Linked DNA regions of Notamacropus eugenii. The protein of the gene in region 3 purifies or fractionates together with the protein of the main gene of each other region. This does not show direct contact. Links are inferred from orthologs where the notes say so. Each region holds a gene or a part of one and is shown on either strand. Other genes may lie near its edges. The genes, in order: KPNA3, DDX56, MECP2 and TBL1XR1.

The links.
Region 1: the proteins of MECP2 (region 3) and KPNA3 purify together in Homo sapiens (affinity purification with mass spectrometry; 3 studies listed by BioGRID and IntAct, counting the BioPlex papers as one, with this or other methods). This does not show direct contact. The link is inferred for Notamacropus eugenii from reciprocal best matches to the Homo sapiens genes MECP2 and KPNA3.
Region 2: the proteins of MECP2 (region 3) and DDX56 purify together in Homo sapiens (affinity purification with mass spectrometry; 3 studies listed by BioGRID and IntAct, with this or other methods). This does not show direct contact. The link is inferred for Notamacropus eugenii from reciprocal best matches to the Homo sapiens genes MECP2 and DDX56.
Region 4: the proteins of MECP2 (region 3) and TBL1XR1 purify together in Homo sapiens (co-immunoprecipitation; 3 studies listed by BioGRID and IntAct, with this or other methods). This does not show direct contact. The link is inferred for Notamacropus eugenii from reciprocal best matches to the Homo sapiens genes MECP2 and TBL1XR1.

What each region holds. Positions count from the first base shown.
Region 1 is NC_092876.1:106,566,888-106,574,636, reverse strand, and holds the start of KPNA3 (importin subunit alpha-4), read right to left. Parts: upstream 3,001-7,749; 5' UTR 2,822-3,000; coding exon 2,753-2,821; intron 1-2,752. UniProt on the Homo sapiens protein: Functions in nuclear protein import as an adapter protein for nuclear receptor KPNB1. Binds specifically and directly to substrates containing either a simple or bipartite NLS motif.
Region 2 is NC_092872.1:522,870,150-522,877,594, forward strand, and holds the start of DDX56 (probable ATP-dependent RNA helicase DDX56), read right to left. Parts: upstream 3,015-7,445; 5' UTR 2,966-3,014; coding exon 2,906-2,965; intron 2,678-2,905; coding exon 2,516-2,677; intron 2,139-2,515; exon of another isoform or gene 2,034-2,138; intron 1,622-2,033; coding exon 1,461-1,621; intron 1,312-1,460; coding exon 1,141-1,311; intron 971-1,140; coding exon 880-970; intron 1-879. UniProt on the Homo sapiens protein: Nucleolar RNA helicase that plays a role in various biological processes including innate immunity, ribosome biogenesis or nucleolus organization. Plays an essential role in maintaining nucleolar integrity in planarian stem cells.
Region 3 is NC_092879.1:23,083,939-23,091,008, reverse strand, and holds the start of MECP2 (methyl-CpG-binding protein 2), read left to right. Parts: upstream 1-4,050; 5' UTR 4,051-4,123; coding exon 4,124-4,176; intron 4,177-7,070. UniProt on the Homo sapiens protein: Chromosomal protein that binds to methylated DNA. It can bind specifically to a single methyl-CpG pair. It is not influenced by sequences flanking the methyl-CpGs.
Region 4 is NC_092877.1:346,937,117-346,944,398, reverse strand, and holds the start of TBL1XR1 (F-box-like/WD repeat-containing protein TBL1XR1), read right to left. Parts: upstream 3,009-7,282; 5' UTR 2,945-3,008; intron 2,788-2,944; exon of another isoform or gene 2,098-2,787; intron 1-2,097. UniProt on the Homo sapiens protein: F-box-like protein involved in the recruitment of the ubiquitin/19S proteasome complex to nuclear receptor-regulated transcription units. Plays an essential role in transcription activation mediated by nuclear receptors.

The DNA.
Region 1 (7,749 bases), on a different chromosome or scaffold from region 3:
CTATGAAGTCATTCCTGACTGGATAGGTATGAAATGTTTTTCTTCTAAAGCTCACCTTGTACTCAATTCCCTAGCACAACTGTATACTTATGGGAAACTGTATTTTATTTCTGATGGTCCTTTCTATCTTCTTGCTTACAGAATTTTCATTATGTTTGATTTTTCTTTGTATACATCTACCTAACTATTCTCTGTTCTGTATTATAAACTCCTAAAAAGAAGCTATAGCAGTTAAGATCAATTTGCATAGTACCCAGCACCTTGTGCATAAGATTACTTTTTTCCATGTACATCATATATGACTGATAACTATATAATTTGATGTGGTTTAAAGGACAGACCACTAGTAAGTAATCAAAAACCCTAGATTCTAGCCCTAGTTTTGTCATAGACTAATGTGATTTGGAGTCTGGGGGTGGAGAAGGGGTTATCTTACAACCTTTGACTAAAATAAATAAATGAGTGAAAAAAATTACCTAGATACTGGAGTGTCAAGTATTATGATAGGATGTATTATGATAGGATCTTGGGAATACAAATAAAAAAGCCAGATGGTTCTTGCCCTCAAGAAATTTTTATCCTAATGCAGAAATGTAACACATATATGAGAGTTGTAGCCAAGGAAAGGAGTTTTGGTCTGTGAAGTCATAGGGCAGTCAATTCTCAAAATCCATAAGCAATAGTAGGACTGACTGAGAAGAGAATGGTCTCTGGAGATCTGGCCTGGAAGGTACTGTTCCAGCTAGTGGGGGAGAGGAAGAGGGCATTGTAACATGTCAAAAGGCAAGAGGTTTGGCAGTGGATGGCTTTTCGATGCCCAAGCTTGCCAATTTGTAAAATGAAGGATAATTACTGTTCTTCCTAAAATATTGTTTTAGGTCAGAATGTCTACCACTACTCATCCTTTAAGACACCCATGGAAGCATATAATTGCTCATATTTAAAAGACAGAAACTGATGTCAGGAGCAACAAACATTTAATGTATATCTATTATGCAATACGCATATAGTATAAAAGTACTGAATGTCACAGGAATACTAAAACAAACGGGGAGGGAAGGAATCATAAAGACAAAACTATCCAAGCATCCTAAGGACCCAGGGGGAAAGATAAATTTACCATACCTTCTGGGGGAACATGGTTAATTTCGATTTTTTACATTTTCTAACACAGGATAAGGCTGCAGCAGGTGGAAGGACTTGGTTGCCAATGATACTTCCCTGGACCTAAGACACTAGACTCAATCACTGAGGTGACCAGGAGAAAGCAATTTCCAGCTTTCTGAAATTCATTTTTTTACGAGTCTTAGAATCAGGACAGGTGTCTGTGGAGGGAAATGCAATCAAGGCCAGAACATACTCATGCAGAGAAGTCTCGGTTTTCTCTTTCATAAAATGAGATCTCCACAGTCATCAGTTATCTTCAAAATTATATATTCAGAAATGCCTCAAGATTTTGTCAGTGTAACTGTGCTTTTGAGAACTACAATGTTTACTCATTATAAAACAAGCAATAAGGATTTTTTCCCCTCACCGTAGAGTAATTTGGATTAATTTTCATTTGTAAAATGCACATTATCTTTAGCATATTATTTCAAACCTACAAATCCAAATCATATCCTGCCAAAGCGGATGAGGACGGGACGGGGCTCAAACACCGTATATGTGTGGGTACTGATGAAGTTTGTGCCTTCCACTGACATGCTTTAAACAGCTGCATAGAGACCCCTAGCGCTGCTCAGCATGAGATGAGTTACAAAGTAGTACCTGCTCGTGTCACCTTAATGAAACAATGGCAGCACACGGAGTGACCATAATGTTTACAATCTGGCCGCAGAAATCATCACCCGACACCGGCACGGCGGGAGCCAGAGACGAAGGATGGAGATGCCTCGACAATATTCCAATAAAAATACTTTCCACAAATGATCGATCGTATCACGCATGCATCGTATACTCCAAGGGATGTAAAGGAAGCCAGGAGGAAGGAATGGAAAGGACACTCCCCCCCTTTCTTTCCTCCCGGAGCAAGAACACAATAGATGCCCAATTATTGTCTGCCCGGCATCCTGATCCCGGTGCCAAGCGAGAGGGGAGTGGGAGCTCGGGGACGATCACAGGGTGAGCGGGGCCGAGAAGATGGTCCTGGCGCATCCCTCCCTCCTCCCCTCATCCGCCACCCGGCGCGACTCAGTGACCCGGCCTTGCCCCACGCCGAGCCCGGGCCGAGGGGCCGCGAGGAGCCCGAGCCCCAGGTGGAGCCGCTCCCGCTACGCAGCGAGAAGCCGGTCCCTCCTGTGCCCGGCGGGCGTGCGGGCCCGCCCGGCGAGGCGAGGAGGCGGCGGGCGTGCGGGGCTGCGGCCAGGCGAGGAGACGGCGGCAGCCCCCGCTCGCTCTCGCCGGTCGGCCTCCGGCGGCGCCTCGCAGCCGCACATCCCTCGCTCGCCTCCACCAGGCCGCGCCCGCGTGACGGAGGAGAAAAAACCCACGGCTCTTCCCTCGTCTCCCCGCCGGCCGGTGCCTTCCCTAGGCGGGGAGGGGAGCGGGGCCGCGGCGGCTTCGACCACTCCACCCACCCCCGCCCCGCTTCCCTCGCCGCCGCCCCGCGCTCCTCCCCGCCCCGCCGCCCGGGGAGGAGAGGGAGGCGGCGGCGGCCAACTCCGCACGGCGAACCGGCGAGAACCAGCCTGGGCGTCCGCCGCGGGCGGCCAGGCCCGGACCCCTCGGCCAGCGGCGGCGGCGCGACACTCACTTCCACATCGCGGCCCTTGTTCTTGAAGCTCTTGATGCGGTGATTCTCCAAGCCGGCGTTTTCGGCCATGGCTCTGCGCTGCTCCGGCGGCGGCTACTCGTCCTGCTGCGGCGGCGGCGAGTCTCCGGCGCGGGAGGGGGAGGGCTGGGGTTGGGGGAAGGGTGAGAGAGGGAGGGAAAGCCGGAGAGGGGGAAAGGAGGAGGGGGACGTTCCGTGACGCCTCTGTACGCTAGGGGAGGCGTGGAGCCGGTGGCGAGGTGGGGGTGGGGCGGGGGCGGGGGCGGGAGAGAGGGGGAGGATGGAATCTAGGAGGGGCACGCGCAGGGAAAGGGCTCCGGCACACGTGACACCCGGATGAAGACGCTAAAGCCGGCGGCTTGGGCTGCGGAGTGCGCGGGTTCCTAGGGCGACACACCACAGCAAACCTCCCACTTCCCCTCGCCGCCTCGGGGCTGCAGCTTATTTGCATAAAATGGAGCTGGGCCCTACGGCTTTTCCTTCTGGCACGAGGGAGGGAAGGCGGGGGACTACAGTTCCCGGCATGCCCGGCTCTAAGCGAGGCTTATAGTCCACCTCGATGGAGACAAAGTGGTGTATGCCGGGAGGATGCGCGCGCTGCCCGCCCTCGGGGCTCCACCCCAGGGGCCGCCTCAGGGAGGGGCTTCCTGGGGAGTGCGCCTGGCCATCCCGGGCATCAGTCCAGTAAGCGCCAAGTGATGAGGCACCTAGGACCCTGATCGTGTGCTGTACCCCGCTGCACAACCCTCCTGCCTCCCCACCATCACGTACGTGCCTACTTACGGAGGGAAGTGGAAGGGAGATGGAGGACCATTGGCCCCGGTGACCCCGGCTCTTCCCTACCTTCTAACCAAACATTTGTCTTTTCTCCCAAACAAGCCTTCCGGGCTTCAAACTGAATGGAGAGATGGGGAGAATTAGGCAGTCAGCATTGCCTCTTTGTACCCTGAGCACAGTGTCTGGCATGTGCTTAGTAGGTGTTTATCGAACTGAGTTGGGATCCCCTGGGGCGAGGGAGAGGGTGTCCTGGCCGAAGGAGCAGCCTAAGGAGTTTGGGGGGGGGGTGTTTCCTTAGACTGAGAGGAAAGAGGGTTTTACTGGTTCATGGCCTCAGAGCTGGAAGGGACCCATCGTTTTACAGATAAGGGAGCTAAAGGCTGGTCCAAGAACGCAAAGGGAGTGGGTGGCAGGGATGGAGAGAGGGAAGAAGTGATTGAGAATCAAGGGACTGGAAGAGATACCTGGAGAACCTGGTACTTCTAGGATGGAGGCACATCATAACGGCGAAATGGCTGAGCGTTTTATCACAGGAGTTGGGGTGGCTGAAAGTATTTTAAACATTGTGAGAAGTTAGATGAAGTCGATGGGATTTTGAAGGAAAATGTGACCTACCTGTAGCCAGGTGTTCAGGGACCTCCCCTAACTGACAGTTCAATCTTTGGGGCTTCCCTCAAAAAAAAAAAAAAGTCAATTTCCCTTTCAGCTCATTATTACCACTGCCGGGCTTCCTCTGAGATATCTCTGAATATAGCTTTTATATAATTAATGTCTAGGTTTCCACAAGTGCTAGTAACAGGGTCTCTAATTCCCTTAAAAGTCCTAGAAAGAACATATTCTTGTCAGGATAGAGGCCAACCCACACAGAAAACACAGAAGGTTAAAAAAAAACTCTCAGAAGCCCATAAACAGATAGAGAAAACTCATAAAACACTCATAGAAACCCTTAAGGAATCAATGCAATTCTCTTTATGATAGGTCCACTCTGGTTCACTAATCAATGATCTCTTACTGTGGAAACTGTCAAGAGTACAGCTACTATCATCTCCAACTACATGCCAGAAGCCACAAAGCCTCCAGATCAAAGGTACAATGGTGCCTCCCACAGGTCTATGGTTTCCTTTGGTCTTCAGGCTCTTGCTCTGTTTCTCCTAAAGAGGTACAAAGTCTTCAGCAGCTATCTGCCCCAAAGACTAAGAAGCAGATCCGTCTCATTCTGGAAAAAACAAGACTACTGTTGTCAGTAGATTCCATCCTTTGGTGAGATTAGTAAACCCTTAGCCTCTCTAACCAAAGACTTTCAGATTGGACCAGAACACCTTACTGCCCTTGCAGACCTCAAGAGAGCATTGTTTTCAGCTCCAGTTTTGGGACTGGAGTAAGTAAGCCCTTTTCTCTTTTTGTTCATGAATAGAGAGGTGGCTTCTGAGATCCTTAATCCCTTAGGCCCTCTCCTTGCCCCATGGTATACTATTCTGCACAGCTGGTACTCCAGCCATAGTAGGCTGTGTCTTGCCACTTTCTTTGAAGTAGAAAAGACATGTGATTTGGTATTAGGAGCTCCATTTGCAGTATCCCATGAGTAGAGGCTCTTTTGCTGAGACCTTGAACACAAACCTTTTCAGATCAGAGACTTGCTAGGTATGAAGTGACTTTACTGAACAAAGAAAGTGTGACTTTAAAGCAGTTCTCCGTTCTTAATCTGGCCACTTCATTCCCTGACATTCCAATTTCAGGGGATCCTTTCCATGATTGTTCCTCTGCTGTGGACATGGTTGAAAAGTCCTGCAATGACCTTTTGGATGCTCCTCTAGAGAATCCTGATTTTGTCCTATAATTGGATGATTCATTTTTCATGAGGGATTGCTTTAGGTGTGTAGGTACTGCCATGGTCTCACCATGATGTAGGAGATGAAATAACTGAGGAAACAAAGGTTTGAGCTTCTGATTTTATTTATTATTAACTTTTTAAGTATCAAGCATAATTAGAAGGATTAAATTATTAAGCAATGCATGCCAATTGCATAACAGATTGGGACCAGGCCTCCTCAGTTTGGCACTGACCCCAAAGACAGGGGAGATAGATTTTTATGCAATAAAAATAATTAACAGTATATAAAACAGGTTACAAAATTGGGTAATCTAATTTCTAACTATAGGAAAGATTAGGGGCTTTCTGAGTTGGGATGGAGATGAATGATCAGGTGCAATTCTCTCAAATCATAAAAAGAGGCATCCCACTTCCCCTCCCCTGAGTATCTTATTCAATGAAAGGAACAGTTTTCAGATAAAATATATGGGCTGTTTAAGATGTGCAGTTGTGAGAAACTCCTTACATCATTCTTTGGATCTGACTGGGTTTCTAGTCAGCATAGCCTAGGTCCTTAGTCAAGGGTCTCTAAGCAACTGGTAAGGGTAATCCAACTTTCCAGCCATATAGGGCTAGGTCCAAAGAATACAATAATGTTTTCTCACAATTTCCATAACTGAATGAAGTTTCCTCACAAGGTAGAAATTGGACTAGACCCATAATTGAATAGAAAGGAAACTGAGCTAACTCTAGGACTGAGTTACAAGATGGAGTCAGGTTCACTCAATTCTGTCTTTTGATTCATGGAGGATGGGCCATCCTACTTTTTCCATGGATCATTTACCTATAAACAAAATCTATGAGATTTTTCATATATTCATAATCAGAATTATATAAGTTAGACCACAGCTCAAACTACTTGGATGGCTCACAGTAAACTAATTTGAGAATGGAGATTTACATGTCACCAAGGTAACAAAGAAAACAGCATAAACACTGTGAAATGAAAAGTTGAAGTTGGTTGTTGTCCTTTGTCTTCAAAGAGGACCAGAATGACATAGCCATGATAAAGTGAAATTTCAGTGTGTCTAACTGTGGCTGATCAGACCACTACAAGCTCAGTATGCTCTACCACAGGTTGGGCACAGATAATCTGTGTGAATATTTGGGGTGGATATCCCAAATTTGTGCATCCTACATTTACTTTGTGCTGTCTCAATTCTGCTTTGCTCACAGAGCAGAGCATCCTTTCTGATGTGGGCATGCCATGCTGAGCGGTCCTGCATCAGTGCCTCCCATGTTGCACAGTCAAATCCAAAGTTCTTGAGAGAGACCTTGAGAGTGTCCCTGTATTGCTTCTTCTGACCACCATGTGATTGCCTGCCTCATGAAAGTTCTCCATAAAATACTCTTTTTGGCAAGTGCACATTTTGCATTCAAACAACTTGACCAGTCCGTTGGAGTTGCGTTTTCTGAAGCATAGTTTGAATACTTGGCAGTTCAGCTCAAGCAAGGACTTGTTTCTGGTACCTTATCCTGGCAGGTGATCCTCAGAATCTTCTTAAGACAGTTCAAATGGAAGTGATTCAATTTCCTGGCATAGCAGTGGTAGACTGTCCATGTTTCACAGGCATACAACAATGAGGTCAGCACAATGGCTCTGTAGACCTTCAGTTTGGTAGTCAGTCTAATACCTCTGCTCTCCCAAACTTTTCTTCGGAGCCTCCCAAACACTGAGCTAGCTCTGGCAATGCATGCATCAACCTCATTGTCAATGTGTACATCCCTGGAAAATATACTACCAAGGTAAATGAACTTATCCATAGCATTCAAAACTTCTCCATTTTGTTGTAACTGATGGTTCCACGTATGGATAGTGTGGTGGTGGCTAATGGAGCACCTGTGTTTTCTTGGGTTAGTTATTAGGCCGAAATTAGCACAGGCAGCAGAGAGTTGATCCATACTTTGTTGCATCTCAGCTTGAGAGGTTGCATTGAGTGCACAATTGTCTGCAAACAGAAAATCATGCATCAACATTCCCTCCACTTTGGTCTTGGCTTGTAGCCTTTTCAAATTGAAGAACTTGCCATCAGTATGGTAGTTGACCTTGCTGCCGTGTTCATCCTCATTGAAACCATTTGACAACATGGCTGAAAACTTAATGCTAAAAAGCATGGGAGTAAGCACACAGCCCTGTTTTACTCCATTAGTACCTGGGAAGACATGAGAGCATTATCCGCTATCCAAAACCCAGGCAAACATGCCATTATAAAATTGACGTACAATACTAATGAACTTCTCCAGGCAGCCAAATTTTGACATAATGTGTACAGAAATCAATAGTAAGTAATGGATGACTTTTCAGATGAAAGGAACAGCGTGAGAAAGGACA
Region 2 (7,445 bases), on a different chromosome or scaffold from region 3:
TGGAGGCTGGATTGGAGAAACGACAGAGACTTGAGGCAGACAGACCCAAAAGCAAGACTATTGCAAAAATCTAAGTATGAAGTGATGAGGCCCAATAATAGAGCAGTAACAAAGAGAGGAGGCACAACACATTGGAGAGATGTTACAAAGGTGAAATCAACAGTACTTGACAAAAAATTGGACTGGGCAGTGGGCGTGGGAAGGTAAAGAAAGACAGTGAGGAATACAGTAAGACTCATAGAATGCAAGTCTGAGGGACTGAAAGGATGGTGGTTTCCCTCTATAGTAATAAGAAAGATAGAAGAGAGGGAAGGATTTAAGGGAAAAGATAAATGAGTTCCATTTTAGACATACTAAAGTTAAGATGTCTACTGGAAAATCAGTTTGAGACATCTGAAAAGCAGTTGGACATTTGAGGTCAGCACGGAGATTGGAAGATAGGTAGATTTGAGAGTCATCAACACTGCGATGGTAATTAAATCCATGGGAGTCGATGAGATCACCAAGTGAAGCAGTATTTAAGCCTTGAAACCACTGTAGGAGGCAGAAACCATTCATGGTATTATGCCCATTTCACAGATGAAGAAACTGAACCTCAAAAAGGTTAACTGGTTTGCCTATAGGCACAGGGCTAGAAGAAAGTGCAACATGATTTATAACTACATTTACAATGTAGCTAAGGTAGAGCTGAAGTAGTACTAATTGCCAGTTATTATGAGAGAGGAGGCATCAGGTTGAAAAAAGATGGGAACTACTGCCATGAGCTTTACATGAGAATGCTTTCCCCTTGAAAAAAATGGTCAGGATGGCAGCTGAGGCACTTTGGGAGAATTCTCATTGTCTTCCCCAATTCCAAATCCTCCCCCCGTTATACCTCACCGGATTATGCAATACAAGCTCCTTGAGGGCCTGTACATCTTCATTAAAAGTAGCTGACATGAGGAAGGCCTGGTATATCCGAGGCAGGTGGCTGCAGAAGATCACAGAACGATCAGTTCCATCCTGGGCATTCAAACAGCTAGAGTTCCCAGTTGCCCCCACATCCACCCTGTAGCCTCCAGGACACTCAGTAAAGCAATTTCATCCCTACTCTCCACCCAAAGCCCTCCCTCCCAAGATTCAACAATCCCACACTCCTACCAAAGTAAGGTCTTAAGCTCTTCTTCAAAGCCAAAGGAAAAAAGCAAGTCAGCTTCATCCATTACAAGCAGTTCCAAGGAGTCACGCAAATTCAAATTTCCCTGCAGAAGATGACTTAGCACTCGAGACGGTGTGCCTACTACCACATCTGGTTTTTCCATTAGCAAGGGCCTACAGGAAGGTAAAAAATTAGTATCAGGATAGAAATATGCAAAATATACAAAGCCAAAAGAAATACAACTGGAAAGCAAGCACTTCATCACTATCCTTAATCTTTTATCTCTAGATGACTTTCTTCTAATTCCATTCCTTTCACCTACCTTTGAAAAGCAAAGTCCTCTGAAGCTGACACATCAACCACACGAACATCACGGGAACAATATGCTGTCAGTTGACGGATCATGGTCTGTGCCTGCCGTGCCAACTCCTTGGTGGGTACAAGAACAAGGCCTCGAACAGCCTGTTCTACCACTGGTCCTGTCTGTAACAGCATATGTCAAGGATCTTAACCAGCCAACTCAAATCACACTGTTCACTTCATCTCTTTCTTGTACTACCTTCAGTCAGCAGAGGCCACGCTCCTTACAAAAAATGGAAACTTATATGTCCTCTGCAAAAGCAACCTGATCTCCTCTTCAAAAGCAAAAGAACCTAACTCCCTTCAGTCACTGTCGCATGATTGGATTACCACAGCCTTGGCTTCACTCTATTCAATATTTAAAAGACATTTATAAAGACACCTAAAAAGTAACGTGATCTTTCCTTCACAAATCAACATAGATCATACAGAACCAGATTCTTTCCTTTCACTGTCACATGATTACCCAGACTTAGTTTAATTCTAGACCACATCTAAAAGAGAAGAATATGACCTCATGCCTCTCAAAAAGTACCTTTGAATCCTGGCAAATCCTGGCAAATCCTGGCCAGGAATGGGATGGAGACAGCTTAAACTGGCAGAGCTGACAGTTAAACTTCCAACTTGACAATTAACAACTCTGAAATCCACAAGCTACAAATCAGGCCTTGATTTGTTTTTGTCCACTGTCTAACTTGAGAAAATATTAAAAATCCAGATTAAACTTAAAAGCCTGTCCTTTATTTTTAGACATCTGTGAAATAGGCATACCATTAAAGGTATTGCTTGCAACTAAGGAACCAAGTGAGACCCAAAGGCTCACAGATTTGAAGCTGAAAGGGCTCTAAGAAGCTATGTAGCTCACCCTACCCCCTTTCACAAATGAGGAAACTGAGGCACAGTGGGACTTAGTAACTTGCCCAGGGTCACACCTGCAGTAAGACCTGGGTGGCACAACACCTCCCTGAAGATTTCCTTCCTCGGCCCCCCTCACCCCAAGGGCCCAGGCTGTCATACCGCCTTCCTATGAAGCAGATGCTGCAGCAGGGGAATGGCATACGCAGCGGTCTTCCCCGAGCCGGTGCGGGCCCGGGCCAACAGGTCCTTCCCCTCCAGCGCCAGCGGAACGGCCTTCTCTTGGATGAGCGTGGGCCGGGCCCAGCCCTGCTCGGCGATGGCCTGGGAGAGGGCAGAAGCGGAGAACGGTGGGGAAAGGAGGACAGAGAAAAGGGTGCAGACAGCCAGGCTGGGTCTGGCCTGGCCGGGTCAGCGCCGGGGCCGGGCGGCGTCAGACGTGGTGGTCCGGGGAGCCGCGTCTTCGGGGAGGGGTTGCAGGAACCACGGAAAGAGATGATCGATGACTGCCCCCAGATCTTGCCCTTCACCCGCCCTCTTGTGCCCCACTACCTGCAGGAGCCGTGGGTCCAGTCCCATGTGCTCAAAGCCCAAAACTTCGGAATCCGCCATGCTGCCGCGAAGAAACTACACGCATGCGCGGCAGGAAGTGTGGCCGGACACTGCGACGAGGCAGAGGGCCTAGGGGGCGGGGCCAGAACACTGCCCAATCAGATTGGGGACAGTAGCCTCACTCCCGGAAGAACACAATTCGCTAGGGGCCCGCCCAGATTCTGTCGCCTCCTGGCTGTGGTTGATCTTGGTTCCGAGAGAGCGAGGCGATGGCTTGGTCTTGTGTTTGCTCTGGAAAAAGGCGATTTGAGCTGGCTTTTGGTCATGGGAAAGTGGAAGAGCCCTCAGCTCACAAAGGGATGTCAAACCCTCAGATGCGAACAAGGTGCGTTACTAGGGTAAGGCACCGAACTGTTTGCCTCAGTTTCCTTTTCTGTAAAATAATAATGGCCAACGTTTATATAGTGCTTACTGTATGTCAGGCACTGTGCTAAGTGCTTTGCAAGTATTATCTCATTTCATCCTCACAGCCACCCTAGGAGGTGTCGTTATTATCCTCGTTTTACGGATGAGGAAACTGAGGCAAACTGAGGTCAGCTGACTTCCCAGGGACACAATGGTGGTGAGTGTGAGTCTGGATCTGAACTTGGGTCTGACTCCTGACCCAGCACCCTATCCCCTCTGCCACCCTGGGAATAAGAATAGCATTTACCTCCCAGAATTGTGAGAATAAAAGGAGCTATTGGTAAAGCACTTTGCAAACCTTAAAGCAGCATATGACAGTAGCTATCATTATATCACAGATCCAGAGATGAAGGGGAACTCAGAAGCTATCCAGGCCGTCCCCCTATTTTCCAGTCATGAGCAGCTAGGAAGTCTAAGATTGCCTACACTTAAATTCAGGTCTTCTCTGATAACAAATCCAGGGTTTTTCCCATAATGCCATGCTACTTCTCACTAAGAGTCTGTTCCCAATACATTACTGATTTTCTGGAATTTCATAAGAAACTGAGGCCCAAAGAGGTTAAATGACTTGCCCAAGGGCTCAGAGGTAATAAGTGGCAGTGAGAATTTGATCTGAAGAGCTGACTACAGAGCCTGGGCTCTTCACACTACTCTAACTACACTGACCTCCAAACCTCTACACAGCTGCTTACTTGGCCCCTCCATCATTCCTTTTCTATCTACCCTTCCCAAAAATGTCCATTTACCATAGTCTAAAAGCTGGGACTCCCTCACCCAACTGCAGCAACTCCTCAGCTTCCACTTTCTAAGTTTAATTTTTTTCTCAATTAACAAAACTCCACCTTTTCCCCTACCCACTTCCCACTCCACTGATAAAAACAAACCCTTGTAACAAATATGCATTTTCAAGCAAAACAAACTTCTGCTTTGGTCATGTCCAAGAAATAGGTCTCCAAATGCATCCTGAGCACATCACCTTTCTGTCAGGTGAGGGAGTAACATGGAATCCTGACTAGTCATTGCATTTATTAGAGTTCTTAAATTTTTGAGTTGTCTTTACAGTGTTATTGTTAATGTAAAAATTGCTCTGGTTCTGCTCACTTCACTGTGCACCATTTCATACAAAGTCTTGCCTGGTTTCTTTGAAACTGGTCCTAATGACTAATGTGAAAATGTGTTTAATGAGAAGGTATGTATAGAACCCATGTAAGATTGCATGCCATCTCAGAGAGGGAAGGGGAGAAAATCTAAAACTTATGGAAGTCATTGTACAAAACTGAAAACAAATAAATTAAAAGAAAAACTTTCTTTCTTACAGCACAATAGTATTACATTAGCCATATAACACAATTCGTTAGCCATTTCCCAATTGATGGGCACCCCTTTAGTTTCTAATCATTTGCCACCATAAAAAGAAGTTATTATACCTTTTATAGAGGGTCCTTTTCCTTTTTTAAAATTTTAGTTTTCAACATTCTCTTCCATAAGTTTTTTACCTTTTTTTCTTTCATTGATCTCTTTGGGGTATAGACCTAGTAAGCCGTGGGGTATGTAGTTGGATGACTTTGGCGGCATAATTCCAAATTGCTTTCCAGAATGGATTGACCAGTTTACAGTTCCACCAGCAATGTGATGACATACCTGTATTTCCATAGCTCCTCTGGCAAATTTGTCATTTCCTTTTTTTTTACTATGCCTTATCTGCTGGATGGAAGATGGAACGTTAGAGTTGCTTTAATTTGCACTTAGTTATTTAGTGTTTTGGAACATTTTCTTCACATGGCTATTGATAATTTGGATTTCTTCCCCTGAAAACTACTTGTTCATATCCTGTGACCATTTATCAACTGGGGAGTGGTATTCATTCTTATAAATTGGAAGCAGTTCCCCATATTTCTTGGAAGAGAGATCTTCATTAGAGAAACTTCCTACAAAAGTTTTCTCTTATGTTTTCCTTCTCACTTTAATTACATTGGTTTTATGTAAAAACTTTCTAAACTTTCTATTTTCTGTCTTCAAAACTGTTCATGTTGTTCATGATCCCATATCCACAGATTCATGAAAGGTATTTTCAACCTTATTCCTCAAATATATGTTACCCTCCACTTTTTTCCATTCAAAGGACAAGCAATGCACTTTCCCCTATCTGCAATTTTTAGAGAGCATATGTGTCTGTGAGTACTCTGATACTTCCATAGGAAAGAAGGAAATAAGTACCTACTCTGTGCCAGGCACTGTGCCCAGCACTTTACAAATACCCTCTCATTTGATCTTCACAGTGTAGGTGCTTTTATTGTCATTTTATAGTAAAGGAATTTGAGGCAATCAGAGGTTAAGTGACTTGTGCAGAGTCAGACAGCTATTAAGTGCCTAAGGATGAATTTGAACTCCAGTCTTCCTGACTCCAACATTCTATTACCAGCTGCCAATGAAAGACATTCTTTGCTGGTTCTCCTGAGATGATTGTGTCCAGTATTTTGTAAAACCTAAATACCATTCACATTATCTGTCATTACACTGGTGTCCCAGGACTATAAATCTGTGGGAATGATGGAGATGGGTTGTGGCACTGATTTTTGACAGCAATAGATAGCATGTTAAAGCAGACTGGGCTGGGCCAGCCTCAGGCAGCTGGATTTGGAGATAAGGGAGCTGAATGAATGGAAATAAATACCTGGGTGAGATGGAAGAATACAGTTTAGGCCCTAGTCTCAGAATGTAGAGTTAGGAAGACAAAATAATCGCAGTGAACAGGGCGCCCCCTGGGAGCCCAGAGGCGAAGGGCACATAGTGTAAGCCGAGCAGAGACAACTGAACTAGACTGAGGACAGAGCAACTGCTGGACCACGAAAAGAATGTGATTTAGAGGTGTATGAACAACACAGGTAGACTAAAGAAGTGAAAAGATCAGGGTGGAGGAGCAGCTATTGGGACAGCTATGCTGGCCAAGTCCCTGGGAAAATATCTGAATGTTCAGTAGGTTAGTCTGTTTTCCAGTCTTTGACAGTCTATGACAAAACTGTAAACTACTTGGAAAGACATCAGGACAGAGGTTTCTCTGTTATGTGCTAATACAATGGTAGTGTAGCAGTCACCCTGGCTTCTCAAAGCTCATGCCACATGGGTTCTGACAGACCCTATTAAGCTAGAAAGGTCAGTAGCAGTACAGTAATGGTCTAACATGAAATGTTCAACCTAGGTAAGTTCTGAGAGGATCACTGCCATACATTTGGCCACCAAGGTAACTATTTTTTGTCACAGCACATCAGAAAACCATCTACTATGGTACTTAGACGTGCCTGCATTGGTGAAAGCCCCTGACAAAATCAAGGCTCTTCTTAAGTATATACCATGCCAGCCTCCTCCATCACCTTGTGGTAAAAAAATTAGCAAAGAAAGGATACCCAGGACGTGGTGATGCACCAGCCTTTCTGAGATTTATCACAGCATCCCAACTCACTGCTTTCAAAACCGGTCTAACTCTGTCTCTATCATTTAAATGGTAATTTTCCCTCTTTCCAAAAAGTCAGGATAAAGAAAGCTCACTGAACTGAACTCTGATGTCTAGGAAAAGTATTACTGTTTTCTTTAAAACACAACTATCCATAGTCATGAGTCATATGACCTATAAATCTACCACGCCTGAAACATCTGAAATAGGACAAAAAATGAGTATTCTAGGATGAAGGAGGTTCGGTAAGTTCTAAGAATGATTCCTAAAGACTAAGACTGAAAAGACTGCAAGCAAAACCAGCCTCTTGGATGCTTTCCTAATTGTAATTAAGTCCTTAGATATGTTTGTTCTAAACTAGAAGGGTTTCAAGAGATTTAAGATCAGCTCCAAGTCATCCTTGGGGTTATTTCATAGCAGGTTACCTATACTCTACTATTCTGCTTGGTTTCTGGTCTGGTAAGAATATTTCATCTCAAACATCACAAGTTACCAGAACAGGTTTTATTTCACTGGAAAATCCATACAAAGAACTGAACCTGGGACCCATGGAGAAAATATTTACTGCATCTTAAATAAAATTTAACAGTTAGCAGCTCTGTGGGGGAAAGAGAGAAGAAGGGA
Region 3 (7,070 bases):
TTTTTAAAGAAATAATGAGCAGGTTGATTTTAGAAAACATGGAAAGACATGCATGAAATAATGAAGGGTAAAATGAACAGAACCAGAGAATGTTGTATACAGTAACAGCAACATTATTTGAAGAACAACTATGAAGGACTAAGTTGTTCTGAGTATTATATATACTCAAATCAACTCTAAAGGGCCTATGAAGGAAAATGCTATCCACCTCCACAGAAAGAACTAATAGAAGCATGAATAGTATGGTTTTACATATACATCTTAGTTAAATGGTGTCCTCTAGTTTGGGGTGGAGAGGGAAGGAGACAATTCAGAACTTAAAATGTAACAAAAAAATTTATATGAAATTAAAAACAAAAATAAGGTAATAAAACATCTGGGGGAAAAAAGAAATAAGTGCAAAGATTGTATGAGTTCAATGACAGTCACTTCCATAAGTCTGACCCCAAATCTCTCTCTCTCTCTGTCTCTCTTTCCACCTTCGTTCTCTCTGTCTCTGTTTCTCTATATCTGTCTCTGTCTCTCTCACCCTACTCTCTCTGTCTCTGTCTCTCTCTGTGTCTCTGACTCCTCCATCTCTCTGTCTCTGTGTGTCTCTCTCTGTCTCTGTCTCCCTCCCTCCAATCTGTTGCCAAAACCTTTTTATTTTACTTACCTAACATCCATCCCCTTTTCTTCTCTGCCACTTCTACCACCCTGGTGCAGACCCTCATCACCTCACACTTGGACAACTGCAATAGCCAGTTGGTGGGTCTGTCTGCCTAAAGTACAGGTCTGACCATGTCACTTCTCAACAAACTCCAGTGTCTCCTGGATCCAACAGAAATTCCTCTCTGGCTTATAAAGCCCTCCTAACCTGTAATCCCTTCCTTTCCAGTCTTCTTTCACCTTTCTCCCAATTGTGAACTCTTAGGTCCAGCGATACAGAAAGCCTTTCTTGATCCTCTTTCATTTTAGTGCCTTCTCTTTTGATTATTTCTTTTTTCATCTTAGATATGGTTTGTTTGCTTGTCTCCCCCATTAAATTGTGAGCTCCTAGAGGGTAGGGCATCTTTTGCCTTAGTCAGGACTGGATAGTCAATAAACATTTACTAATCATTCACTATATGCCAGGCCCAGTGAAAATCCAAGAGGATACAAAGAAAGGCAAAAGACAGCCCCTACCCTCAAAGGGCTTACAACCTAGGGAGGGAAGCCAGCAAATACAAGTATATTCAAAGAAATAAGGGACTATATTGGTGATTTCATTGGTATATGGCAGTTGTTTTTAAGTGTTGTCCAGGAACTTCTAGGAGGTCCTTTTCAGGGGGTCTGCAAGGTCAAAATCTTTTCATCATACTAAAGTGCTTTAATTTCTAACATAAATAACAACAGAAATAACCCACATAAACAAAAGCTCTTTGGGAGCATCTTCAATAATTTTTAAGCGGGTAAAGAGGGCCTGAGACTAAAATGTTTGAGAACCACCTGTATAGGTAACTCCAGGGTGAGGAAACTCCTTCTAGCAATGCAGATTGGAACTTTCTTTGCAAATAAATTACAGAGTTTTCTAGAACACTAAGAGGTCATGTGACACATGGGGGGGGCAGTCACACAGCCATCATGTGTCAGAGCAGGGGCTTGAAGTCAAGCGTCTCTGGCTCTGAGGCTCGCTCTCCATCCTCTACACCATGTTGCCTCTTGTTATATTCAAAATAGATACAAGATACTTTTTAAAAATTATCAAGCACTTATTTTCTCTTCTACCCTCACCTCACTCCACAGTGGGGAAAAAAAACAAAAAGAACAACCAAACTGTTGTAACAATACAGAGTCCCCAAAGTCTTAGTGCAGTATCAACAGCTTAAAATTTTACTAAGACTTTGGAGGACACCATGTATGCATAGACAAGCTAAACAAATTTTCACCCTGGTGACATCTACAAATATCTCTTTGGTTGTTTCTAATATAAGATGCCATTTGGAATTGGAGGGATCAGCAGTGATCTCCTTACTGATTTTCCTAACTCCAAGCTATCCACGATACCATCTAGCTGCCCTGTAATGTTCCCGCTAGTATTATTTTTTAACGTGGGGGGGAAAGCCCAGGGATGGCCTATTTCCTATGGATGTTACCAAATGTAAAATACAGTGTAATTTGGGAAGTGTGGACCTGAAAACTGTAGAGAAAAGGCAACAGGGTAAATGCATATATTTTATGATTTAATTAATTAAACAATTCCCTATTAAAGATAACAGTTACATAGCATTACAGAGTCAGAGGTTAATCTGACTACCTGGTACAGAAATCGTCTGTCTTAAATACACTTTGCCGTGAGAAAGGAACTTTCTTAGTTGAACAAATCATAAATTTAGTAAGACAATTAACAAAGTAGTGTCAGTTATGATCCCAAGCTGTGTAACTTCCTCTCTGTAACATATGTCTCTGTGACATAAGATAAGGAGAAAATCCCACCACTCTGATGGCAGGCCTCCTGCTGACACATGAAAGGGCACCTTTAAGAAAGTTTCAATTGAAATTACAACCCAAGACATCTGTGTTTTTCCTTATCACTAAGATGCCAGGAAAAGGGTCTCCTAAGGAAATTACTGTCAGCCCCATCTGCTTTGCTGACACCAAAAGGCATTCTCTGAGTTTACTTAAGATAACAAAGGTCCAGACTCTTCTTAATTCAAGCTTTGGCCCTTATTAAAGTCCAAAATTTATATTAAATATTATCAGAAGTCAGGAAGACCTGCATTCAAATGTTGCCTGACTAGTTGTGTGACCCTGACAAATCACTTAGCCTAGTTGAGATAATAGTTAAATGCAGTGAGAATCAAATGAGAAAAAATATGTGGTGTTTTGCAAACCTTAAAGCTCTATAGAAATCTAAGCTATTGTTAATTAGGAAATGGAACTTGAGCTGAGCTTTGAAAGGATCGAGGGGTTCCAAGATGGGAAGGTGTGGGAAAAGAGATCGTGATCAGTCGGCCAGTATGGGAATGTCATTGGCAAGCAAGTGTAAATTGGCTGTGGAAACTGCATCCTAGAAAAACATACCATATGATCCATGGTGTAAGGCTGTCGTATCAGCTCACGTTTATGTAGCACTTACTATGTATAGACCAGGCACTTGTGCTAAGGGCTTTACAATTATCTCATACCAAGTTTGGGAGATCGGTGCTATAGTTATCATCCCCACTCTACACATGAGGAAAATGAGACTAAGTGACTTACCCAAGGTCACACAGCTAAGAAGCATCTGACTCCAAACTCAGTGCTCTGTCCGCTAGTTGCCCCACTAACATTGAGGTCGAAAAGAGGAGTCTTTGTGCATGCTATCCTGGTCCTGTGACCAAAGCCCACCTCCTGCATAAATGCAGTTGATGTGGCCTGTTTCTTTTGGCCGCGTTTATATGAACCTGCAGTGGTGCGAAGTGGGGCCGAGGAAGGGGAGGGTACCCTGAAGCCATATCCTTGTTCTAGAGGTTGCCTTCCCTAAAGGTACGGATAGACTTAAATGAATGGGTTTAAAGTGTGTGTCAGACGGCTATACGTGCAAGTACGTGTGTATGTGACTGGTGGACATTAGCCGGTTTATAAAAGGGACAAATGCATAATCCTAATATGCTTCAGCAGAGAAAACAGCAGAGCGGATGCTTAAAAGCGTTAATATTCAAATCTCAACCGCTAGACCATCCCAAATGTCCTGCCACGCCCACTTTCCTGAACCGACAGCTAAGAACGCCCAATTGGCGCAGTCCCATTAAATTACCATTATCCAATCAACAGTCAGAAAGGGCTTCCTCTCTCTTCCACCTGGGCGATAATTGACAGAAACTTCCGCCAATTCATGGAGCTGCTATCAGGACTCCAGCCTCCTTCGCTTATTCCGTAGCCAATCATGCACGAGTTTTCAGAATGACGTCTCCACCATCCAATCACAAAGGAGCATGGGTGGAGCCGCCCAGCCCCAGAAAGAAGGGACGGGATAGTGGTGGGTAAGGGAACTGAGGGAAGCTAGAGGGATAGAGAGGGCGTGGCCTGGCTGAGACGTGGAGCGGCGCGCGCGCTCCCAGGTTGTCGGCGGCGCGCGCGCACCCTCCTCATCAAGAGTCCTGTGGTAAAAGCCGTTCGGAAAATGGCCGCCGCCGCCGCGCTGAGCGGAGGAGGAGGAGGCGAGGAGGACAGACTGTGAGTGGCGCCGCTGTGGCCGCGGGCGGGGGCCCCTCCGCGGAGAGGAGGCAGCGCGGGCGGGGGCCACGGGGTCGGGGAGGCGAGCCGGGCCGGGCTGGTGGATGGCGTCCCTCCTTCCCTCCCCCCTCCCTCGCTCTTGCTCCCCCCTCCTTGGAGCCCGGGGCCCTCCGTCGGTGCCACCCCGCCTCTCGCGGCGGCCGGCCTCCCGGCGCGCGTCCCAGCGCGCGCACGCCCTCCCACCCGCTTGCTTGGCCCTGGTTAGGCGCTCGTGCGCTCCGGCCCGCTGCTGGTGGGCCTCGAGCGCCGTGCCGCGCCGCGCAGTCCTCTGCTCTCGCGCCGTGGCCGCGCGCTCCTGCCTGGCCTATCTGCCCGCCCCCTCCCTGCCCAGCTCGAACTCGTGCACGCCCGCTGTCGCGCGCTCGCTCCTCCATCCATCCTCCCCTTCCCCCCATCACCTCCCCATCCCCTCTTTTCTCTTCCCCCCACCCCCGTTGTCTCTTATCCCCCTATTTCTTCTCCCCATCCCCCTATTTCCTTCCCCCCTCTGTTTTTTCTCCCCACCCCCCCCATTTCTCCCCCATTTCTCTGACTTTCCCCCTCCCCCCCCGCCACTTTGGCCCCTCCCCTCCTGCGCCTGCGTACTAGTCCTACTCCCCGGCGAAAGAGTGCGCCACAGCAGCCCCATCTCCCTCCCTCCCTCCCTCTCCTTCCCCTCCTCTTGCCTCTTCTGCTGCCCTGTTAACTCCCTATTTTTTTTTCGTCCCCAACATCTTTGCCAGTCCCCACAGGACTATCAGTTCTCCTCCTCCCCTCCCCCGTGGCAGGAAGAGGGAGATGGGAATTACTGCCTACCCCATAGGGAGGAGTGTACATTGTGTCCCCTCTGTCCCACACAGCCTTTTCTAATAGAAGCAGTTCGGGAAGTGTCACCAATTCTGATACTTGCAGCCGAGGAGGCTCTTTGGTGAAGAGCCTCACGTTGTGCCTCTCATCATCTTGGGGGATGTCTGAATTTGTGGCTGTTGGAGTATGGTATGCACACCTCACATCCTTCCCCCACCACCCAAAATCTTCCAGTTACATAAAAGTGATGGGCCATACTCTGGAGCCCTGAGTTCGAATTGTTCATTTGGAGCAAAGTCACAGGCAGGACAATGGGTGTCTGGTTTAGTGGTTTCTTCAGTCTGATGTACTCTACCTTTAGTTCTTTCATCTTTATTTTGTTCCTAGTTTAGTTTTGAATGACTCCCCAAACTGAAACTCATTTCAAATTTCCGAAGTGTAAGTAGCAATCAAGACCTTCATATGTGACACTTGGCCCAACTGATTGTAAACTTTCAAGTTCTTAGCAAAACTAGGTGACTTTGGCCTGGTTTTAGGTTTCAGTACAAAGTGTACAGCTTTCCACTGAAGACTTAAGGAGATTGGGAAGAATCTGAAAAGATTTATCTCATCCCAGAGACCATTTATGAAATTAATATATACAGATACTGTAGGAAAAATAATTGCTCTAAAATGCAAATAAAATTCAAACCAGTTTTTTTCTTTCACCTAATATGTCAACTGCTTTTAAGATTAGGTATGTAAGAGTGTAGCTTGTTCACAACAAATATACATCATTACAAAGGAGACATTCTTGACTTTTGTTCCATAGAACGTGTGCAGACAGTTTTTTTTATTTGTATATTTTTACTAGTGGAAATTGGTTATGCTGAACCATACACACCCCTTGTGACTGGTAGCATGCATGGGTGAGACAGCTGGGTTCTGTAAGAACTGAGGGCTATGGCTGTGGAACTAAACTTGCTCTGTCTTAAGCATACTGACCTAGACTTTCTAACAGAGGAACTTTATAAGATTTATGGATTTAGTTAAGCTATGAAAATGAAATATAACCTTGCCCCTATGGCTCATTAAATTAAACATTTATAAGGCAGCTAATGCCCTCAATGAGAACTATAGTACTGGCATAGTGTGAAGCTTTCATTTGGATCCCTACGTTCTGGTAAATTCAACAAATCAAATTCCTAGTCTTTCAAAATATGCTACGACCCAGTTAAAACAAAAAAAAGACAGGGTGGTTTTTTGTTTGTTTTTTACCCCTGATCTTAATTCCTGGTCAAGCAAGCCTAGTAATTCATACTGTGAACCTTTTGAAACTTTCAAAACCAAAAAACCAAGCTAGAAGTAAAAGTGTCACTCTTCTTGTGCTCTCGGTGTTTTGTTTTTTTATCAATCCTGTCGGTTTAAAAGCTGGAAGAAGAGACCTTAGAGATCAGTTAATGTTATGGATGAGAATGCTGAAAAGATCAGACACATAAGGAGGAGATTTGAACTCAATTTCTCCAACTCCAGACTCTTTCTACAATACTAAGCCGACAAGTAGCCTAACCACTGTTTTGTTGTTTTTGGTTAGGATGTGTGGTTTCATTTCTGTGGGAAACGCCTGGTATGGAAACGTGGTCTGTAATTTCTAGTCTTAGAGAGTTGCCGGTGCCACTGACAGGGTAAGTGACTTGCCAAGGGTCACACAGCCTGCATGTGTCAGGAGCAGGACTTGAACCCAGGGCTTCCTGACTTTAGGGCTTGTATTTTATCCACTAGACCATGCTGCTTATAAGTGTAGATAAATACATACAAACATATCAAAGTGGGCATTGTTGTACAAGTTAGAGGTATGTCTAACTTAAGAAATGGAGAAAGTAGATCCATGAGCAGCAACCTCCTTGACAGTCATCTGTTCTTCACACCCCTGGTCCTTTAAATAGAATAAATATAAACCTCATCTAGGGAGGGGTTTCTTTGAAAAATACATTTAACTGAATTAGTGGTGTAAATTAGACATCAGAGTTCTGAGTGTCCTGATAGCTCAGAGAAATGCCACTTCCTGA
Region 4 (7,282 bases), on a different chromosome or scaffold from region 3:
CATCAACCAAACCCTCCCTCCCAACTTCACCCAAACATGGCTAGTCAGAATTTCTTTCTATGCAACAGCACTGTAATCAATTATAAAAGGTGGTTTCCTTTGTCAGCCATTCATCTGACAAGGTTTTATTTATGTTTCACTACCATACATGAACAGATATATTTATTCAACAGGTTGTCATTCAAAGGGTCCATTAATCACATCTCCTCTTCGGGTAATGTGTATGCTTATTCTGTGCTCCTTTCCTTTCTGGGTATTAGTTTGAAATGCCCTGAGTTCACGAAAGTAAGTTATTCAGTGTAAAGAAAACTGGTTCTTTTGTTATATATGTACTATTATCAACAATCTTACTTAGATATTAAAACATAGGAAAGATTTCTGGTGTGTGCAAAAAAGCTGTTAAATTTTATGTAATCTCTCAAGTAAATACAAAATATACACACAAAAGGAACCAATCCATCCCACAAAAACTAGTGTAAGTAAAAAGCAGTGTTAGTCTGGCAGCAACGACTAAACTCTGCAACAAAAAAGTTTAGGGTGTTTTAAAAATAACATACGGAGCGCATCTGAATCTTTACTTTTAAGAAAAACTTTCTTCTTAACACACAAATCATTTTCTTATGGGTACTGATTTTTATTTCCATTTAAAATAGGGAATTTGACACCTCTTTTTCCATTAATTCCTATCTAGTTAATAATGTACTTTAAGTAAAAAAATCAATACGTCACTGCAATAATGTTGATGATTTCCTTATCTTTTAAATAAATTGAAATTCACATCTCTCACAAGTACAGGTAATGGTTGATTAGCTGTATGGAATATTCAAAGCAAACTTTTTTTAAAAAATGTAAGAGATTTCAAACAAGACTGAAAGTACATAAAGGAAAAAACTTTCATAAAGTAGCATCAAGAATCCAAACACTTAAGTGGTTAGCCAATTTTTCTTTCTACTCCTCCTCCTCTGCCACCCTCACTGTACTCCCTCCCTCCCCAAGAAGCAAATGCTAAATACTTCTAGGAGTTGTCAATGATAATCTGGGAGGCCTGCCATTAAGCTCCCATGGAACAACCCGACATAAAACCCTGTTTTCATGGAGACAAACAAAGCTGTCCTGACTCTCCAGACTAACAACTTGAGATAGCAAGAACACAGTCTCAAGTGATCTGGGATTAATAACACACCGAAGAGGCACCGTGTCTCACTTAACAACAAAAAAAGAAGTCACCACGGGAATTTCAGCACAGTCACTAGCATTTGCCTAAAAGCATAAAAAAAAAAAACCCACCCCACAATTCCAAATTGCTTTAGGCATGTTGAAGAAAACATCATGAGGACCCCTTATTATCCACACACAAGAGGGAATCCCCAGGAAAGGGAAGAGAGGTTATTACTTAATTACAACTTAGCAAAGGGGGAAAAAAATTAAACCAATCAGGCTCAAATAATTACCCATGCCTTCAACAACCCGATTTGATTCAGCATAGCTAGCAAATCCACAAAAGGAATTCTTATTTGGAAAACAAGGAAACTGGACGTGACTCTAAGTAAAATTTCCAAAGCAGAGCATTTAAATTAGATAGTAAAATGTCCCATAATAAGACCTTTTTTAAACGAGAAGAGAGGGCTGCACCAAGCCAGGTTTTAATGAACATTAACATTGAAAAACATTACAACCATTTTAAGCCTGACTTAGGATCACTCAATTGTAACTTGCAAAAGCATGTTTTTTGAAGAGAGCGACATTATTTGAAAGCTCAACATGAGAAAGAGTACCAATCCCACATAAAGTTTTACCCCAAAGCCTACTACATACATCTATGCTCAGTGCATTAAGTTGATCTTGGCTGAAAATATAAAGTGGTTAATGTTCCAAAATTATAACTTCCCTAAAAGCGTTGAGTATATGGTAATGCATTCATGAAATCATTCACACTACATCCTCAGGTCCATTTCTACATAAATAAAAGTCTGCTTCGGCTGAAAAAACACCTCCATAGGGTAATTTCCATCGAACTGCAGCTACTTTATACCAACAACGTGGCCTTTACACTGTCAAAAAAAAAAAAAAACGGTGACCGTTCTAGCTGAAACTTACCAGCAAACTCCCTTGCTGAAATACACTTTTAATAACAACTTCCAACACACTCCTCTCCTGAACACTTCCTGAAGATAAAATTTTCAGCAACAGTAACTAAGTTACAAAGAAGCAGCTCCCAGAAAGAGAAAGGAAACCCCAATCACCCAGTGGGAAAGTGAGGACGGCGTGTCTACGCTTTCCCTCCCCTCCCCCCTTCAGCAGGAGTTCAGACACCAAGCACATTTTTCATCCTTCCAATTACATCCCTCGTTTTCTGAAATTTACACGACCGAAAACTATCCTAACCCAACCGGGGGAAGGTGCCCGGACCCGGGGTCGGCCCCGGGAGGGGGGGGGGCGGTTTTCCCCCGTTTTAAGTAACCAAGGTGTTCTTTCGGCTGGCCGCGGGTGGGCTGCAGAAAATTACTAATAATCATAAATGTGCCCGGAAAGGCGCCTTCCTCGCTAAAAATAGGCTCCGAAGGAGGCTGCCTAACGACGGCTCCTAATTCTATCGGCTGCAAATTCTTTTCCTGAAAGCCTTCCCCAAAGGAGGGAAAAGGCTCGGAGGGTGGAGGGTGCATGGGGGGTGGGGGAGGGTTAAAAAAAACCCCAAACGGAACCGGGAGCGGGATCACCTTGCTGAGGCGGCGGGGGCGGAGAGGGGGAGGGGAGGCTCCATCCCAATACCGAGGATAATAATAGCGCCCCGTCAGACACCCGCTCCCCAAAGGGCCAAGTGGAAAATGTGCTAGCCTTGGGCCCAGCCCCCACGCCCGCCACCGGGAGTCGGCGCAGCCCCCTCCCCTCCACGTCCACCACCCCCCCGCCCGCCCAGGCCTCGTCCCCGCTCCCCCTTCCTTACCTGGCGCCGCTCCCCGGGGCTGGGCTGGGCCGGGCTGGGCCGGGGCTCGGCCGCCCCTCCCGCCCGCAGTGGAGGCCCAGCGAGTGCCCCCGGCCGGCCGGCCTCAGGCGCCTGGTCGGACCGCGCAGCCCGGGCGGGAGCGGCCTCGGCTCCGGGCTGGGCTCCGGGCGGGCAGCGCGACGACTCCGCCGCCGCCGCCGCCGCCGAGGAGCCCTCCCAGCTGCGCCCGCCTCCCTGCTCCGCGCGGGGGCGGCCGGGGCGGGGGCGGGGGGCGCGAGCCGGGCCGGGGGAGGGGGCGGCCGCCGCGCCGCCGCCGGGCCGCGAGCGGGAGCGGAGCACGGAGGCTGGAGCCCTGCGGCTCGGAGCGGGCGGCCAACGGCTCGGAGTCTCCGCGCCGGGGAGCGGGGCGCGGGGCGCGGGGCGCGGGGAGCGAGCGCGGAGGGGGAGGGGAGCGGGCCGGGGGAGGGGGAGGGGGAGGGGGCCGGACCAGCCAGGCGCAAATGAGCTCGCGAGGCCCGCGGCGGCGGCGGCGGCGGCGGCGGCGGCTCCTGCCGCACAGCCAAACAAACCCGAGCGCGGCGCAGAGCGGCGCAGGCAGCCAGCGCCCGCCCGGGGCGGGGAGGGGGAGGGGGAGGGAGAGAGACGCCGGGGAGGGGGAGGGGAGAGGGGAGGAGAAACGAGCGGGGAGGGGAAAGCGGCGTGGAGACGGGGAGGGGAGGGAGGAGGAACTGGGGAGTGGGAGGGGAGACGGAGAGGAGGAGGGAAGAGGAAAAGGAGGGACTGGGGAAATGGAGCTTGGAGGGGGAGGGGGAGAACGGGCCGGGCCCAGCAGGGGGGAGGCGGCGGGAGCCTGGCCGCTGGCCTGCTTGCCCCAGCTGCTGCAGGCCGCCGGGGGAGGACGGGGCTGGGATGCCCATTCCTTTCTAAAAGGCAGGCACAGAAAACAGGGGCACGTTCAGAGATGCAGGCACCAAGGGCATTTCATTTCCGGGGCTTAGCCGAAGGGAGGGGCTGGGGTGGGCCGGGAGGACCCCCAGGACACTTTCCCGGGAAGGGTCCTGCGATGGCCCGGACGCCCCGCTGCCCAGGGCTCCAGCGGGTGGGGGGATGCTCTCCGCTCCACCATCCGCACACGTGATCATGAAATAGACATGGTTACATAAAGCATCGAGGCGGAGGATCCGTGCAGGCTTCTGCGCCCGGAGAGCCCGTACGTGTGCGCTCGCTGGCGGAGCTGTGCAAGCACGCGCACATGTCTGTGTGTACAGGGTGGTTCTGTTTCATCTCTGATAGGCCGCTGACTTTAATTTCTCTCTAGACCCCTAAAATCATGAAGAAAAAACCAGGAAAAGGGTAGGCACACACACTCGACCCCGCATTACAACTGGGATGTTTCTACCCAAATGTACTGTACGTTAGGCATTTGGCCGTATTGATCTTAGGCTGGGTCTTGTTTTAAAGGTTTATTCTATCCTCTCTCATTTTTTAGCAAAAATAAGATGATTTGCTACGTGTTTACCAAATATTTGCATCAACAGCAGCAAAGACCAGGGAAGTTTTCTCACCTTTTACTTTTGATAGGTGTGTATCCCATCAGCACAAGCCATAAAATATTACTTAGAAAAGTGATAATGTGCTGGGGTGGTTAAACTAGGGGGGAGGGGAAGGAGCAGGGGGGCAGGGTTTCGTTGAAGTTTCTATCCAGTAAAACCTAAGCTCCCTGAACTTTAAGGACAGTGCCTGGCACAGGGTAAACTGTGAGTAAATGTTTATTAAATCAAATTGAAAGAGGTGAATAGTCACCATTTAAAGAAAATAAGATGGGCAGTCTTTCTAAAGCATATAGAAAAAGGGGGGGTAATCTCTTTTGTGGCATAGAGAGACCACATTATAAGCCTTCAATCCAGTTTTGAAAATATAATTTGTAACAGATTTTGCTTTCTTTTGAATAATTACTTTCTTCTAAGTAAAGTGGTTCCTTTCTACGTACTTGTTAAGCAAGGGGTTTTGTGTGTTGGACTTTCTTCAAAATGAATATTCTTAACAGTGTTTTCTTCAACTCATGCACAATGAGTTTAATGTAGCTAAAATACATTAGAAAATACTCATTTAAAATCATTGATAAGTTTTCAGAGACTAACTAAATACCTTGAAGAAATCTTCCAGTTATCTATCTGCCCATAGTCTGGTAGCTTTTTTGGTTAGAGGCCTAAATGATGAGGCTAAGGCCAAAGGATTCAGCCTATCCCTAGGGGCCACTCAGTTTCTCTAGTATGGCCTTAGAGTTCAGCGATGTCTATGCCCAGCTAACGTGCAGGTGCACAGCTTTGGTCACCACAGGAACTGAGAAAAGGAGCATAAGTAGAAACTGGCCACAGCCACTGGGCAGGGGGTGGGGGGGAATCCAACTCCAAGCTTTTCTATTCCTTATTAAGCATGTGTGAGAAGTCATCCTTGTACATAAAAGAGAGAATATATACGACATGTTATCTTTAAGTGAATGTCCTCCGTACAAAGTACACACAAGACCTCCAAATCACACCATAGAATTAATATAATTCCAATATACTCAATTTTATGGTAGTATTTTTTTTTGAAGGTGGAATGGAATCTAGGAAATTCCCTCCATGATGCTGACCTGTAATCTTACCTGTAAATGTAGTCTTAGGTCCTGAGGGTAGTGTAGTGGGGATAGAGAACTAGTCTTGGCTTCTGAAAGACCTGAAAATACCTAGCTGGTTAGGAGTTAGTTAACAATTTGTATAATATTTGTATGGGAGGAGGGGGGATCATCTCTCTAGGACAGATCAACTCTCTAGGACAGACACAGTTTCAGCATCGGGAGAGATGTCAGTACCAATTAGCCTAGGCCATAGTAGGAAAAAAAAAAAAAAGTCCTCCACTACCCCCAGGACAAGTGGTCAATCATCCAGTCTTTGCTTCAAGACTTCCAGTGAGGGGGAGCTCACTTCAGCTCAATTGGGAGTTCTTTATCACAACTCATTTCATCTCTCTGGGCCTCAGTTCCCTGATCTTCCAGATGAGGGGGTTGGAGAAGATGATCTCAAAAGTCTATTCAGCTCTGCTATTCTCTCGTGTGATCCCAAGACCTCAAAAAACCAGTGAAACAGATTCATACATGTTGGGCCTTCAGGCCATCTCACATGCAAAAATAATTTCTCTGAGTCCTCTTTTCTTGGAGTGTACTATTTTCTGTAATAGGAGCTGTTCTTTTAAATCAGAGATTTGAAAGCAGATCAGGATTCAATTCAATCTGGCAAGTGTTTATTGATCACAACATAACAAGTATTTATTGACCACCTATAGTGGAGTCTGGAAGACATGAGTTCAAAACCGGCTTCAGCTGTTTACCAGCTATGTGACCCTGAGCAAGTCACTTAACCTCTGACTCATTTTACTCGTCTGTAAAATCAGGATAATAGCAAGTACCTCCCAGGGGTGCTGGATCAAATGAGATAGTATTTGTAAAGCACTTTGCAAGCCATAAAGTGCCACATAAGTGCTTATTATACCTTATTATTTTTACTGTTGTTACTACATGCCAGGCATTGCACTAGAGGCTGAGTGGGGATACAAAGATAGAAATGAACCCATCCCCGTCCTCTAAGAGCTTACATTTTTTTCTAGGAGAAAAGGATGTACACTGTGAGGGAAGCAGCATTACACAGTTGAGAGCAGTGACCCTAAAATGAGTCAGTGGGTCCTGACAGGAACTCAGAAGCTGGGTCTCCCACCTTTGTGATTTTGGTTAAATCCTAACCTCCTCCAATTTCTACCTCTCTAGCATGAGATTGAATTAAATGGTCTCTAATGCCTCTTTCAGCTCTAAATCTATGATCCTAAGGGGAGACAGAGACAGAAAGAGGAGAGGAGAGACAGAAACAGAGAAAGAGAAAGTACGTGAGGAGGGAGGGGAAAGAAGGAGACAGTGCAGAAAGGCTTCCTGTAGATTTAAGATCTAAACTACACTGTGAGAGGTCCTATGAAGCAGAACATTCCAGGCTTGGAGGCAGGAACCTGAGGCAGCAGGTGCAGAGTCTGGTTGCCTCCATGTATCTCCCTCCCCACTTTACTGCCTTCTCCTTTGCATGAGACAAAGTCAATAAGCAGGACTTCCTCCATAGTTTTGTCATAGGATCAGAGATTTAGAATTTGAAGGGAGCTCAGAGGCCATCTGGTTAACCACATAGACTCCATTTTTATAGGAAGAAAACTGAGGCCCAAGGAGTCTAAAGGAACTTGGGGAGGGGGGGGGGTAGCTCAGGTAGCATTGGAGATAGAATTGGAAGCCAAGTTCTCTCAGTCCAAAGCTAGTGG